Linked DNA regions of Xenopus tropicalis. The protein of the gene in region 3 interacts with the protein of the main gene of each other region in a pairwise test. Links are inferred from orthologs where the notes say so. Each region holds a gene or a part of one and is shown on either strand. Other genes may lie near its edges.

Region 1 (3,600 bases), on a different chromosome or scaffold from region 3:
GTTATATTAAATTTATGTCAAACAAGTTAGCTACAGGTCATCATGTATGTGTCCTAACAATACTATGCCATAAAAAACATAAAATGTAGTGTTTGGCTAATGTCGCATGGAGCCAGTCAGTCACCTGCAATAGATTTCTGCTACCATGGCTGACTACTGTGCCAAAATGCCTTTCCACTGGCAAGCCAAAGCGATGCGTATAACTTTCCACTGGCGACTCCTAACTCCTATTGTTGCAGGTGGAAAGGCATTTCGGAACAGCTAGTTGCCTGTGGTAGCAAAGATCTATAGTGGGCGACTAACTGCACCATTAGCCTTAAGGTGGCCGTACAGGGGCTGATTAAAGCTGATGACTTGGTTCCTCCCGACCTAGTCGGCAGCTTATTGGCATGTGTAAATTCTAGATAACAATCGGCAGGCTTGAAAACCTCATCAGACAAAAGGTGCATTGGCGTGGCCCTCAGTGTCAAAATGAAGCAATTTCCTACCTGTGATACTGTGCCTGCAGCAGTTGAAATTCATCCTTAATTCTATCACATGAATCTGAGGTTGTGAATTTGAGTTGCTGGGGCAAATGCGAAGAGCCCTAAGGAAAAAAAAATCATAATAGAAATTCCATGTGAAAACATTTGCAGCCTTAATGGAATCCACAGGACACTTGGCTAATTAGTGGTTAAATTAAAGGCATAGTATACCCCTTTAATGATCACCAGTCCATTGAGAAACCTCTGTATAATGAGCTACTCATTTCAGAGTCTAACAGGTTGCATCAAGGGGCAGGGAGGGGTTTATTTATACAAAGGGCTTCTCAGTGGACTAGTAATTTGTTTTGATTGTGTTCCCATGAGTCAGGAGGTAGAATAGGGTAAAAGAAGAGTTCTACAACAACTTTTGTCTTTGTTTGCCACCTCACCCCTTTACACCTAAATGGCTTATGCAATATGTATTATTATGTTAAGCTAAAAATACCTTTGGAAACATTAGCTGCCATATCAGTTAGATATCTGCTGGGCAGGTTTGAAAATATCATAAAATAAGGGCCACTTGGTTGTTTATACGCTCAGTTCCTAATCAACCAAGTATAGGCCCCTATAATGATCTGATCAGCGGCCATAAAGCCAAACAAACCTTGGTGGCCAAATCACAAGATAATTCACTTGTTTGCCGACTTCACCAAATGAGTGGATCTTTCAGTGTATGGAAGGCTTTAAGCACATAATACATGGCTGCAGCAAGCATAGTTATTACTAATAATTAGCTATTTCTGTTAAGTATATGTATCCCATTTCCAAGGGAGAAGGCAGCAACTAGAACACTGCTTGGTCATTATTTTGACAATTGGAGGCTCACTTTTCTGTGGTACAGTACATGATACATGAATATCTCAATTATGCACTGCCAATATGGTGAGGGCCACATTTGTCAGGCACCTCTGGTGATTACCTTGGACCCCAGGCTAATACTGCTCTTCACTAAAAAAAACACAGTGGCCAGGATACTATTTTAGGGTGCACCACCATCTTGCTTCCTTGCTGCTGCTCTGGGTCATGTGCAATACAGCAAAATATTTGGCTTGCAGCTTCAGTCCTGATTTTGCTCTATAGCATGTGCTCATTACCCAGGGCAGAAGTAAGAATTGCATGGACAGAAAGCAAGCTGGCAGCACTCCCTACAATAGTGCCCCAGGGCAGTGCAATTTTAAGCACAAAGGCAACTCCAATGGGGGGGATTGAGGCTAGTAATTATAATTATTGGGGAGGGGATGCCTACCATTGCCCCTTCCAGTAATTTCTTGTCCTTAACATGTATTTATAAAGAGGCAGCACATTGCACAGCAGTGTGTAATACTGGATATCACCTCGAAAATATAACAATGCTACCAGTGCTCTAGACGGCAAAGATGGATTCAACAGAATTCTGAAACTCTACTACAACACTAAGCCCTTTCGGCTCCTGCAACGGCAGGACTTCCTGCAACAAAAAAATCCTACCCCCATATTGCTTTTAGCGTCTCCAGCAGATGAACATGTTCTATACAAATATAACACACAATAATACAGTAGTACATTCAGTTCTACCCCTCGCCTTCTCACCGAGTGCCGGCTGCTGCTTTGAGGAAACATCATATCCCACCCGGCCCCGGTATGTACGGCGCTACGCACAGGCTCAGTATCCAAGGCCCGGCTTCCTGTGCGCTTTATCCAAGGGCTCAGTGCACTTTGGGAAGGCTTCGCTCTGCTTCTCAGCCGGCACTACTGCTTTGGGCCCAGATATGTGATCCGCAAACCCCAGATGATCTTCTGGCCGCTCTGTGTGCTGTCAACCAGGACCTCTACTGTCCCCTTGGCCTCGTCCCTTCTTGATCTCTAACCCGGTAATGCTCCCCCACCCCTGAGGCTACGGCCTGCCCTGCTTCACTACACGATCTCCTAGCTCTCTACCCACTCAGGAGCCTTTTGTTTAATGGCGTCTGTGCTTAAGCAGATATATGGCTCCCTCTACAGGTCACAGTTTCAATGATTCAATTTCCCATGTAAGGATCCCTTGTCCTTTTAGCTGATTTTAAAATTCCTGAAAAAATGAAAGCTTATCAGTTACATTCAATGAACCCTGCTATACAGACCTCAGTGGGAGCATCATTTCGCTAATTTTTAGAGGCTGCCTTATTTTAATCTCCCTTAAGAATATTTTTTGTCTCTGTATATATCTAAGGCTTTTACAACAATCATCTGAACTGAAGTAATTCAATTTTTACCAGTGGTGAAAGTAGATGTTACTAAGCCCTCAACATATTCATTAAAGGGGCACCCAAAATTTCTGGAGAAATTGTTTAGTAATTATGGCCCCACTGGGCCCTCAACATTTCTGGCCTGCTACAAACTCCTGGCTGCACAGATTTTGCTTCCAGACACTCACACATGATGTTCAGTTCTTGGTAATTATGGGGTGCAAAAGATAAGACACTGATGGCCTCGTTTACTAAGGGCCTACAGCACCATGTTGTTCAACCTTCACACCAATGCACTGAGCATTTGCATCTGATCAGTTTATGTTTAGATGAACACGGTTTCCCAATGGCACACTGGTGTAACAATGCAAAATGCTGACAAAAACATGGAGCCTTGCAGAATGACATCTAAGGCTAATGTCCCATGGAGCAAGTTAGTCGCCCGCGATAGATCTCGCTACCGCGGACGACTAAGTGCTCCAAAATGCCTTTCCACTGGCAACTATAGGAGTCGCTGGTGGAAAGGCCTACGCATCGCTTTGGCTTTCCCAATTCGCACAAAGTTTCCTCCTGCAGGCAACTTTGGAAAGCCGAAGCAATGCATAGGCCTTTCCATCGACTCCGATTGTTGCCACTGGAAAGGCATTTCAGAGTGATTAGTTGCCCGCAGTAGCAGAGATCTACAGCGGACAACTAACTTGCTCTTTGGGCCATCAGCCTTAAATGAACCAAATTATTTAACTAAAACAACTGTCTCACTGTAAATGTGATTTTGGGCCACAGTAAAAATCTCAACTTAATCAAGAAAAGTTTAAAGTAATAGGACAGCAAACAATACAGTACTAAATTCCTCTCTGCACCTCAGACTTATT
Region 2 (3,830 bases), on a different chromosome or scaffold from region 3:
GCAGAGCCCCTGTACTTAAGTTACTGTTCTAACACTATTCCCTATAGATTTAGTCAGGTTGACCACTCCCCCTGCAGACTGAAATAGCGTCTAGCAGGGAGGAGTGGCTTCCTCTTTGGCTGCCTGTCTGCTACCTAAGCACAGCTCCTTCTGAGCCTGGGTGCTGCAACAGGCCCCAGTAAGCCACCTTAGTCCAAAGAACACCTTACTAATTGTATAAGTCAGGGACAGGGCCCTGTGAATGAGGATAAGTAAGCACAGCAGATTTATTTAATAGCACTCTCTAGTAGAAGTGAGCATAGTCAGCTCTAGCTAGAAAGGGCCATTAGCCTACCAAAGGAATGATTAGATCCAGGAGTATTTCTCCTATCCGGCAATGTTGTCTCAGTGCAGGGCTCTAGGAGGACTCAATCCACTAGAGGTTATCAACCTGAAGGAGTTCCTACTACTTGCACTATCTCTCAAGGGGTACTGGTTGAAAGGTGTATATCCCGGCCCAGACTCTACCAAGAGGTGGGGTAAACCGGTGTACACTCTCTCTTCTACAAAAGAGAAATCCCTCATTGTACCATTTCAATCTGCATGTCTGTGAGTATGATAACCCTGCATAACATCTGTGTCTTTGACCAATAAATCTGTATTATAGTTCACCAGCAAGAACCTTTCTGCGTCCATTTATACCATCTACACTACACAGCATCAGAAAGTTGTAGTTCAACTACACCCTCAGCTCCTATCTTACATCTCCCACATAGCAGAGGCCCATGCCGAAGAATTAAGGGTCACATGTAACACATGCTCTATATTACACTACAAGCCTGGGTTGGCCTAATCTAAGACAAAATAGTGTTACATATAATACATATAAGAAGAAAAGTTCTGAAAAAGTAAACTGTAAAAAGTAGCCTGTTTGCTACAGCAAGATTAAATGTGCACAAATTAATCGTTTCGGTGCCCTTTAAGAAGTGTCCGCATCAAAGCAGAGGGAGGCAATCCAACTTAAAGTAACAGCCAGCAAACAATTTTATGATTTGCTGAAGTCAAGATTTAGAGGCGGGGATAGCTTGCAGTCTAGGAAGTAAGGGCTGTACCCTCATTTCTTCTTTCGGTTTTGTGTGTGTGAGTTGGTGATTCTAGAGGTATCCGGAATCAAAGTAAATTTCAAGACGTTTTATTTTGCTTTCTTGAGCTTATTATACAGGACGGCGTCAGGTACGTTGAAAGAGAGACATTTTACTCCACTGTACGGCGCCCATTTTAGGACATCATCGGTATAAACGCTTCTGCTAATGATTCTGTTTTTATAACTGTGCCTGTCTGGGCAACCCCATTGCTCTTTTGGTCTATTATATACTCATCACTATACTGCAGCATATATTATATAATTTTCGTAATTGTGTGCATCATTCTGCCTCTGCTAACATTTGCCCAGTTTTGATTAATAAGCCGACTGGATCATTCTGTATTTGGTCTACTTGGTTATAAACTCCAGTGTGCACAGCCCATGTTTAATCTGCTTTATGCTGAGTAATCCTGCCCATTTGTGAATCCTTGTGTACAGCTGGTGTATCACTTACCACAGTGACTTTTGTTTTTTGGAAACCCCTATTTTAATTTACATTGGTTTGTGAGCACTCTAAAGGCTGTCATGTACTGTTAAGTTGAGCTGCAAATCTGCACTGCTATTGTTTAATATTTGCCACTACTTAGCCAAGCAAATTTTATTTGCACAATTCATCTAAAAAAAAAAATCTACACAACATGTCTGTGGGTTTAATTAACTTGAATGTATTCCAATACCACTGGGTGACAAATTTATCCTGTATTTTTCAGTCTCAACTCTGATCTCTGAGTTTTTTGACAGACATTTCTATTTGAATATAAGACAGAATAACCCTTTTTCCCAGTGCAAACTTTAGAACACCCTAGAAATAACAAGCGCTCTAATGGCCTATTGCCTTAGGGTTGTCTTTGATTTTACCCTCTCCTTCAGTTGTCATATCCAATTAATAACTAAATCATGTCATGTTCACTTACAGAATAAAATATCGCTATCAAAAATGATGCCAGCATGACCATTCCTGCCATAAGACGGGAGTGTGCAACAGTTTACCAGGGGTGGCAAAAGAAGGCCCCTAACAATTAATTTTTAAATTCAGCTCTTCTAGTGCAAATAGACCGTTCCACTCCCTGTATTAGAGATACTGCTCCTCATAAATTAAGAATATATATTATTTTACAATTTAAAGTTTATAGCTGTTCATTTATTACCTACGAATATTCTATTTACTGGCAATGATTGCCCTATTTTATGATTTCATTTGACACGTGTAAGAACCAAACCTATTGTAATTTATGCATCTGTTCTTAGCTTGTTGTATAAACTGTTATTGGTGTATGTGAAGCAGTTGCACTGTAAAAATACATTGAATAGTCGGGTTTCCCCAGAGAACACGGTTTCCAGAAGGGCTGTCTGGGCCAAAACTCTCTGCCCGGTTTTCCTAATTTGGTAAACTGGGCAGGACTTTCCTAGATTAACATGGACCTGTATGTGCTGAAAAACGAACCCTCGGCTTATACTCGAGTATAAGGATTCGAGGCTGAACAAGTTTGTTTTACGGGGCACCCCTCTTCCCTCCCCGCGGCTGGACAGAGGGCTGGACGGGCGTGCGTGCACGAACCAACGCACGCATGCATGTGCACACAACAATATTTTGGGCATGTACAAATGCGTACGCAGAAAGGGTGTTGGGTGATAAGGAGAGAAACAAAGGAAGGGGGCACAGATAAGAAGGCAATCTGGGAACTACAAATCCCAGATTTATTAAATTATACATTACCCTATATCACTACCACCTGCTCTATGGCTGCTAGCTAAGTAAAGTCAAAAGGATAAATCACCATTGTGGTCATTTGGAGCATGTTGGGAATTGTAGTTCTTTGTACAATAATATTACAATGAGTGCATCACTATATACAGATTCTGTACATGAGCCGTTTATTTATCTGGATGTCAGCTGACCCCCTCGGATCACTGTTGTGCCCTACAGAGAGTGTTCTGAATGTTCTGGTTGGGCCTTGGCCGGTACGCATTGCACTATGGGAGTGCATGGGAATTATGGGAAACAACCTTGTGCAGATATGGAAAGCTCAGTCAGTGGGTCCCTAGGCAGGTATTGTATACTTACAGGCCTGGACTGGCAATCTCTGGGTTCTGGCAAATGCCAGAGGGGCTGATGTAAGATGCCACAGACAGTCACTATTTATTGGGCTGGGGGGCTTTTTGGGCCCCTGTGTACTTGAAATGCCAGGGCCTATTTCGAATCCCAGTCCAGGCCTGCCTACCTACCTGCTACTGGTGGCCTATACTAGCTTGTTTGCCGGTGGCTACTGACAATAAAATATAAGGAAGAGACACGACTTTTCCCTTTGCTAATGGAGTTCTTGAAGCTGGAAACGGAACCTTTATATTATACGCCATGGCGCAGGCTTCTAGGGGGCAGAACAAGATGGTGGAATGTATTGTTGACTTTTTAGCGGTAAATATCCAGGGTGCCTACCCCAGAGTTACTAGGGTTGGTTCACCAATGAGTGTCCAGGGTGTCCAGGGCCTACCTAGGCTTATACTCGAGTCAATAAGTTTTTCCAGTTTTCTTAGGTAAAATTAGGTAATTAAAATGGAGGGTATGGGAGACGGGCTTTCTGTAATTCGGAGCTTTCTGGATAACTGGTTTCCGGATAAGGGATTCCATACCTGTAATTGGATAGAGAACTGACTGAAGGATAGATTGCAGAGAGTGCTGTTAAATTGAACATTTTCCAATTGGACC
Region 3 (3,830 bases):
AGAGACGGACACTTCTGATTCCCCAGAGGATTTGGGAAAGCTTTTAGCACCACTGAATGAGGGGATTAGTGACCCTCCCCCTAACACCCCCCCACCACATGCATTTACAGCCAAAGCCAGGACCTGCTAACAGTACAAATCAAAGGGGAACTAAACTGGTTCAGCAATGTCCAACCTGTTGTTTAACTAGAACCCAGCTGCCTGATAGTGGGGTTGGGAGCTGCAGTGTAACAACAGCCCGAGAAGGATGGACATCTTTGATATAGATACTGAAAACAATTGTTCTGGTAATGTTGCCCACAATAGATCTCTGCTAACACGGGCGACTAATCTCTTCAAAATGCCTTTTTCACCATCATCAAAGGGAATCGGTAGTAGAAAGGCCTTTCCCTTTAGTTGCCTGCAGGGGGAAACTTCACCATTGATCAGCACATACCTCTTTTACCACTGAACCCCTAGTTTAGGCCCTTTTGTTATTCCAGCACTCCAAATCCACCCCCCCCCCCCATTGCCTGGGTGAATTCCAGAAAAAGTTGAGGGCCCCTGGGCAAGCCACCCAGTATGGAGGCATCAATACACAGACAAGCAAGTTTGCCCCCCCCCGTTATCTCTTTCAAGTGCATGGCCCCAATTCACCACCCCCTTAGGAGAGCTCTGCCCTTGTAGGTATTCCGCTGATGGCAAATAAAGAATTGCATTCACTGCAGGTCTCTCCAGCAGTGCATGGGTTAATCAGCAAGGCAGCTGCTGTGTCTGGTTCCAACTAATCCTGGCTCTGCAAGCCTATAGCAATACACACAGAACTGAGCAGCTGCCCCTTTAAATGCCATTTCCTTCTATTGTATTTGAATGGTGATCAGGAAAAAGGAAATGAAAGCAGAGTCAGAGGGGCTGAGCTTAAAGGCTGCAAGAGGGACACCAATCGGCTATATAAGTGACAGTGACACAGGGCTCCCTCCCAGACCTGCCTGCAGCAGGAGAGCAGCTCACAGATACAGCTGGCTGGGGAATACACAGGGGGAGCAACAGGGATGGAGAAGAGACAGCAGGGGGCTCTCGCATGTTCCTTAGGGAGCTGGACAGCAGCCTGTGAGTGTTGGGGCCACAGGGACCTGCGCTGGTGACGGGCATATGCAAAGGAGAGGTCCAGTGGAGCTAATCCATTTGGCAGAAGAGTCAGGGGACAATAGGAGGAGGCGCGCCAGATTCTGCAAATGTCATCAGCTATAGAGAGAAAGAGCCTGGACCCAACAGAGTAAGCATGCTTGGGATAATGCTTGGGGGATGTTGGGGGAAGAAGAAGGGGGCCCTGGCAATGCAGAAAAGCCGGGACCCTCAAAAAACAATAAATAAGGGATTTGCAGCCTGCAGCCCTTCATGCATTGTACCAACTCCTACTATCACCAGCCTTTTGGGGGTTGCTAGGAGTTGCAGCGCCACAATGCATGTAGGATTGCCAGTTGCACATCCAAAGGGAAGCTAAAGGGTTAATGTCCCCTGAAACCACGCGTGGCTTGGGGACGAAGGATGCTTCGTTCAATCCTTAGTGACTGGCAATTTTACCCATTTTCATGGTGCTTTGGCTACTGGGAAGAACTGGTTCATATTCATGTTCAGTGAAGTCAGCGGCAGATATTTGGTTTTACTGTGCAGCATGGCATATTTATCTATAATGTATGAAAATAAGTCATGCTTTCAGTGCAGGCTATTGTGTGTATATATATATATATATATGTATATATATATATATGTGCTGCAGGAAAACACAGCAGCATGGCAGCTCCATTCCCTATTACTAATATATGTCAATCAGTAATTTATGCTGTACAGGAAAATAAAATTGAGTCATAACTATAGGGCAAAATTCAGGGCCCTGGGCAGCTGTAACTGAACTATACCTATCACCCTGGGCAGCTGTAATTAGTACATTCAAGTCCTACGTCTATTTGTATAACACGCGCTGGGAAGAATCCGAAGCACAGAGCACAGAGCGGTGCAGGGTATAGTGCAGTATAAGGGTGAAGACAGAGGCAATTCTCAGTATTGTCTATGGCAGGGTGTTTTCTGGAGTTTAGTAGCCATGAAAAAGTAGCTGCTACCAGTAGCTCCATGTGTCTTCACCCTTTGTCAGGGCTGAGTGGCAATTAGCAAATGCAGAAGACTGATTAACATAAGTCGCTTTCCTATTCTCTATCTTGGTGGCAGAGGAAGTGCTTCATCTTTATCTGCGCTTGTATTGCACTATCAGTTCTAAAAGATGAAAATAGTGACCATGGAGCCCTGCATGGGCTGTTTCTCCGGACATACATAGAGCTAAAGGGGGGGCCTGAGAAATTCTTTTCAGATCTAAATGCTTGCGGAGCCATTAATGTGCCCATGGCTAATAAAAAGGAAGAAAGAAAAAGTGTCTCTAGGAGCCTATATTCAGAACTAAGTGCTTGTTGCTCTCTTTTGCCTCTAGTGAACCAGTGGATGAGGTCCTGCAGATCCCCCCCTCACTGCTGACATGTGGGGGCTGCCAGCAGAGCATCGGGGACCGCTATTTCCTAAAGGCCATTGATCAGTACTGGCACGAAGACTGCCTGAGCTGTGACCTGTGTGGGTGCCGGCTGGGCGAGGTCGGGAGGAGACTTTACTACAAGCTGGGGCGCAAACTGTGCCGAAGGGACTACCTCAGGTATTTCCAACCAGATTGATTCTCTTCTGTTAGGACAGAGCCCATGGGGCATTTTATCCACTGCTGCCAGATAAAACAGAAGTACTTTTGATGTAGCAGGCCAATATAACATATAACATATGGTATAACACATGTTCAGGCTGTATCAGACTGGGTATCTAGTGCCCAATGGGACCGCCACTACCTGTTCATGCATGCTACTCAAAAAGGGCCCAGACTGGCAATCTCTGGATCTGGCCAGAGGGGCTGCTGTAAGAGCCATAAACAGTCACTATTTATTGGGCTGGTGGGGGGCTGTTTGGGTCTCTGTGTCCTAGAAGTGTCAGGGCCTATTTCAAATCTCAGTCCAGGCCTGACTCCTTTGTAGCCTCACAGAGCAATGGTGTTTGGCTGCTAGGGTCAGTGACCCTCCATTTGAAAGCTGGCATATAACATATAACTTTTTGTGGTTTTTCAGTTATTAAGCTTTTTAATTGGCAGCTCTCCGGTTTGGTATTTTAGCAGCTATCTGGTTGAGTAGGTCTTATTTACCCTAGCAACCAGGCAATGATATTCATGAAGAACTTGAATATGAAAAGGTGAAGGACTGAATAAGTGAAAGATAAGTAATAAAAAATAACCATAACAATAAAAATGTTGCGCGGTTCTGTTTTTTATAGGCTGTTCGGCCAGGACGGACTGTGCGCCTCTTGCGACAAGCGGATCCGAGCCTTCGAAATGACGATGCGGGTGAAGGACAAAGTATACCACCTGGAGTGCTTCAAGTGTGCAGCCTGCCAAAAGCACTTCTGCGTGGGGGACCGCTACCTGCTCATTAACTCGGACATTGTGTGCGAGCAGGACATCTATGAATGGACCAAGCTGAATGAGATGATGTAGCACTGGCAGAGCTTCGGGGGCCCATCCAACATGGACGCCAGCCACACGTTCACTAACCGCACTGGAACTGACAATACACGAACGACTGACAAACCAGTATCTTTCCACTGGAACAACATTGTCTTATTCACTGAATTAACACTCACATGTACATCCAGAAGGCCATTCTGGTGATCCTACTGTCATTATTGGTGCTCTTGTCCTTCCTGAAGCAGCATGTGGATAATTGTGACATAACAAACAGTGGTGAAACTCTAAAAGCATATATATATAT

The links.
Region 1: the proteins of lmo2 (region 3) and tle5 interact in binary tests that used the Homo sapiens proteins (3 or more experiments, as listed by UniProt). The two-hybrid records come from large-scale screens. The link is inferred for Xenopus tropicalis from reciprocal best matches to the Homo sapiens genes LMO2 and TLE5.
Region 2: the proteins of lmo2 (region 3) and stat1 interact in a two-hybrid assay, tested with the Homo sapiens proteins (2 studies listed by BioGRID and IntAct). The two-hybrid records come from large-scale screens. The link is inferred for Xenopus tropicalis from reciprocal best matches to the Homo sapiens genes LMO2 and STAT1.

Annotation. Positions count from the first base shown.
Region 1 is NC_030677.2:114,623,015-114,626,614, forward strand, and holds the start of tle5 (amino-terminal enhancer of split), read right to left. Parts: upstream 2,397-3,600; 5' UTR 2,127-2,396; coding exon 2,094-2,126; intron 587-2,093; coding exon 489-586; intron 1-488. UniProt on the Homo sapiens protein: Transcriptional corepressor. Acts as a dominant repressor towards other family members. Inhibits NF-kappa-B-regulated gene expression. May be required for the initiation and maintenance of the differentiated state.
Region 2 is NC_030685.2:43,532,044-43,535,873, reverse strand, and holds the start of stat1 (signal transducer and activator of transcription 1-alpha/beta), read left to right. Parts: upstream 1-1,068; 5' UTR 1,069-1,212; intron 1,213-3,830. UniProt on the Homo sapiens protein: Signal transducer and transcription activator that mediates cellular responses to interferons (IFNs), cytokine KITLG/SCF and other cytokines and other growth factors.
Region 3 is NC_030680.2:15,306,798-15,310,627, reverse strand, and holds the start of lmo2 (rhombotin-2), read left to right. Parts: upstream 1-969; 5' UTR 970-1,214; coding exon 1,215-1,255; intron 1,256-2,461; coding exon 2,462-2,677; intron 2,678-3,336; coding exon 3,337-3,556; 3' UTR 3,557-3,830. UniProt on the Homo sapiens protein: Acts with TAL1/SCL to regulate red blood cell development. Also acts with LDB1 to maintain erythroid precursors in an immature state.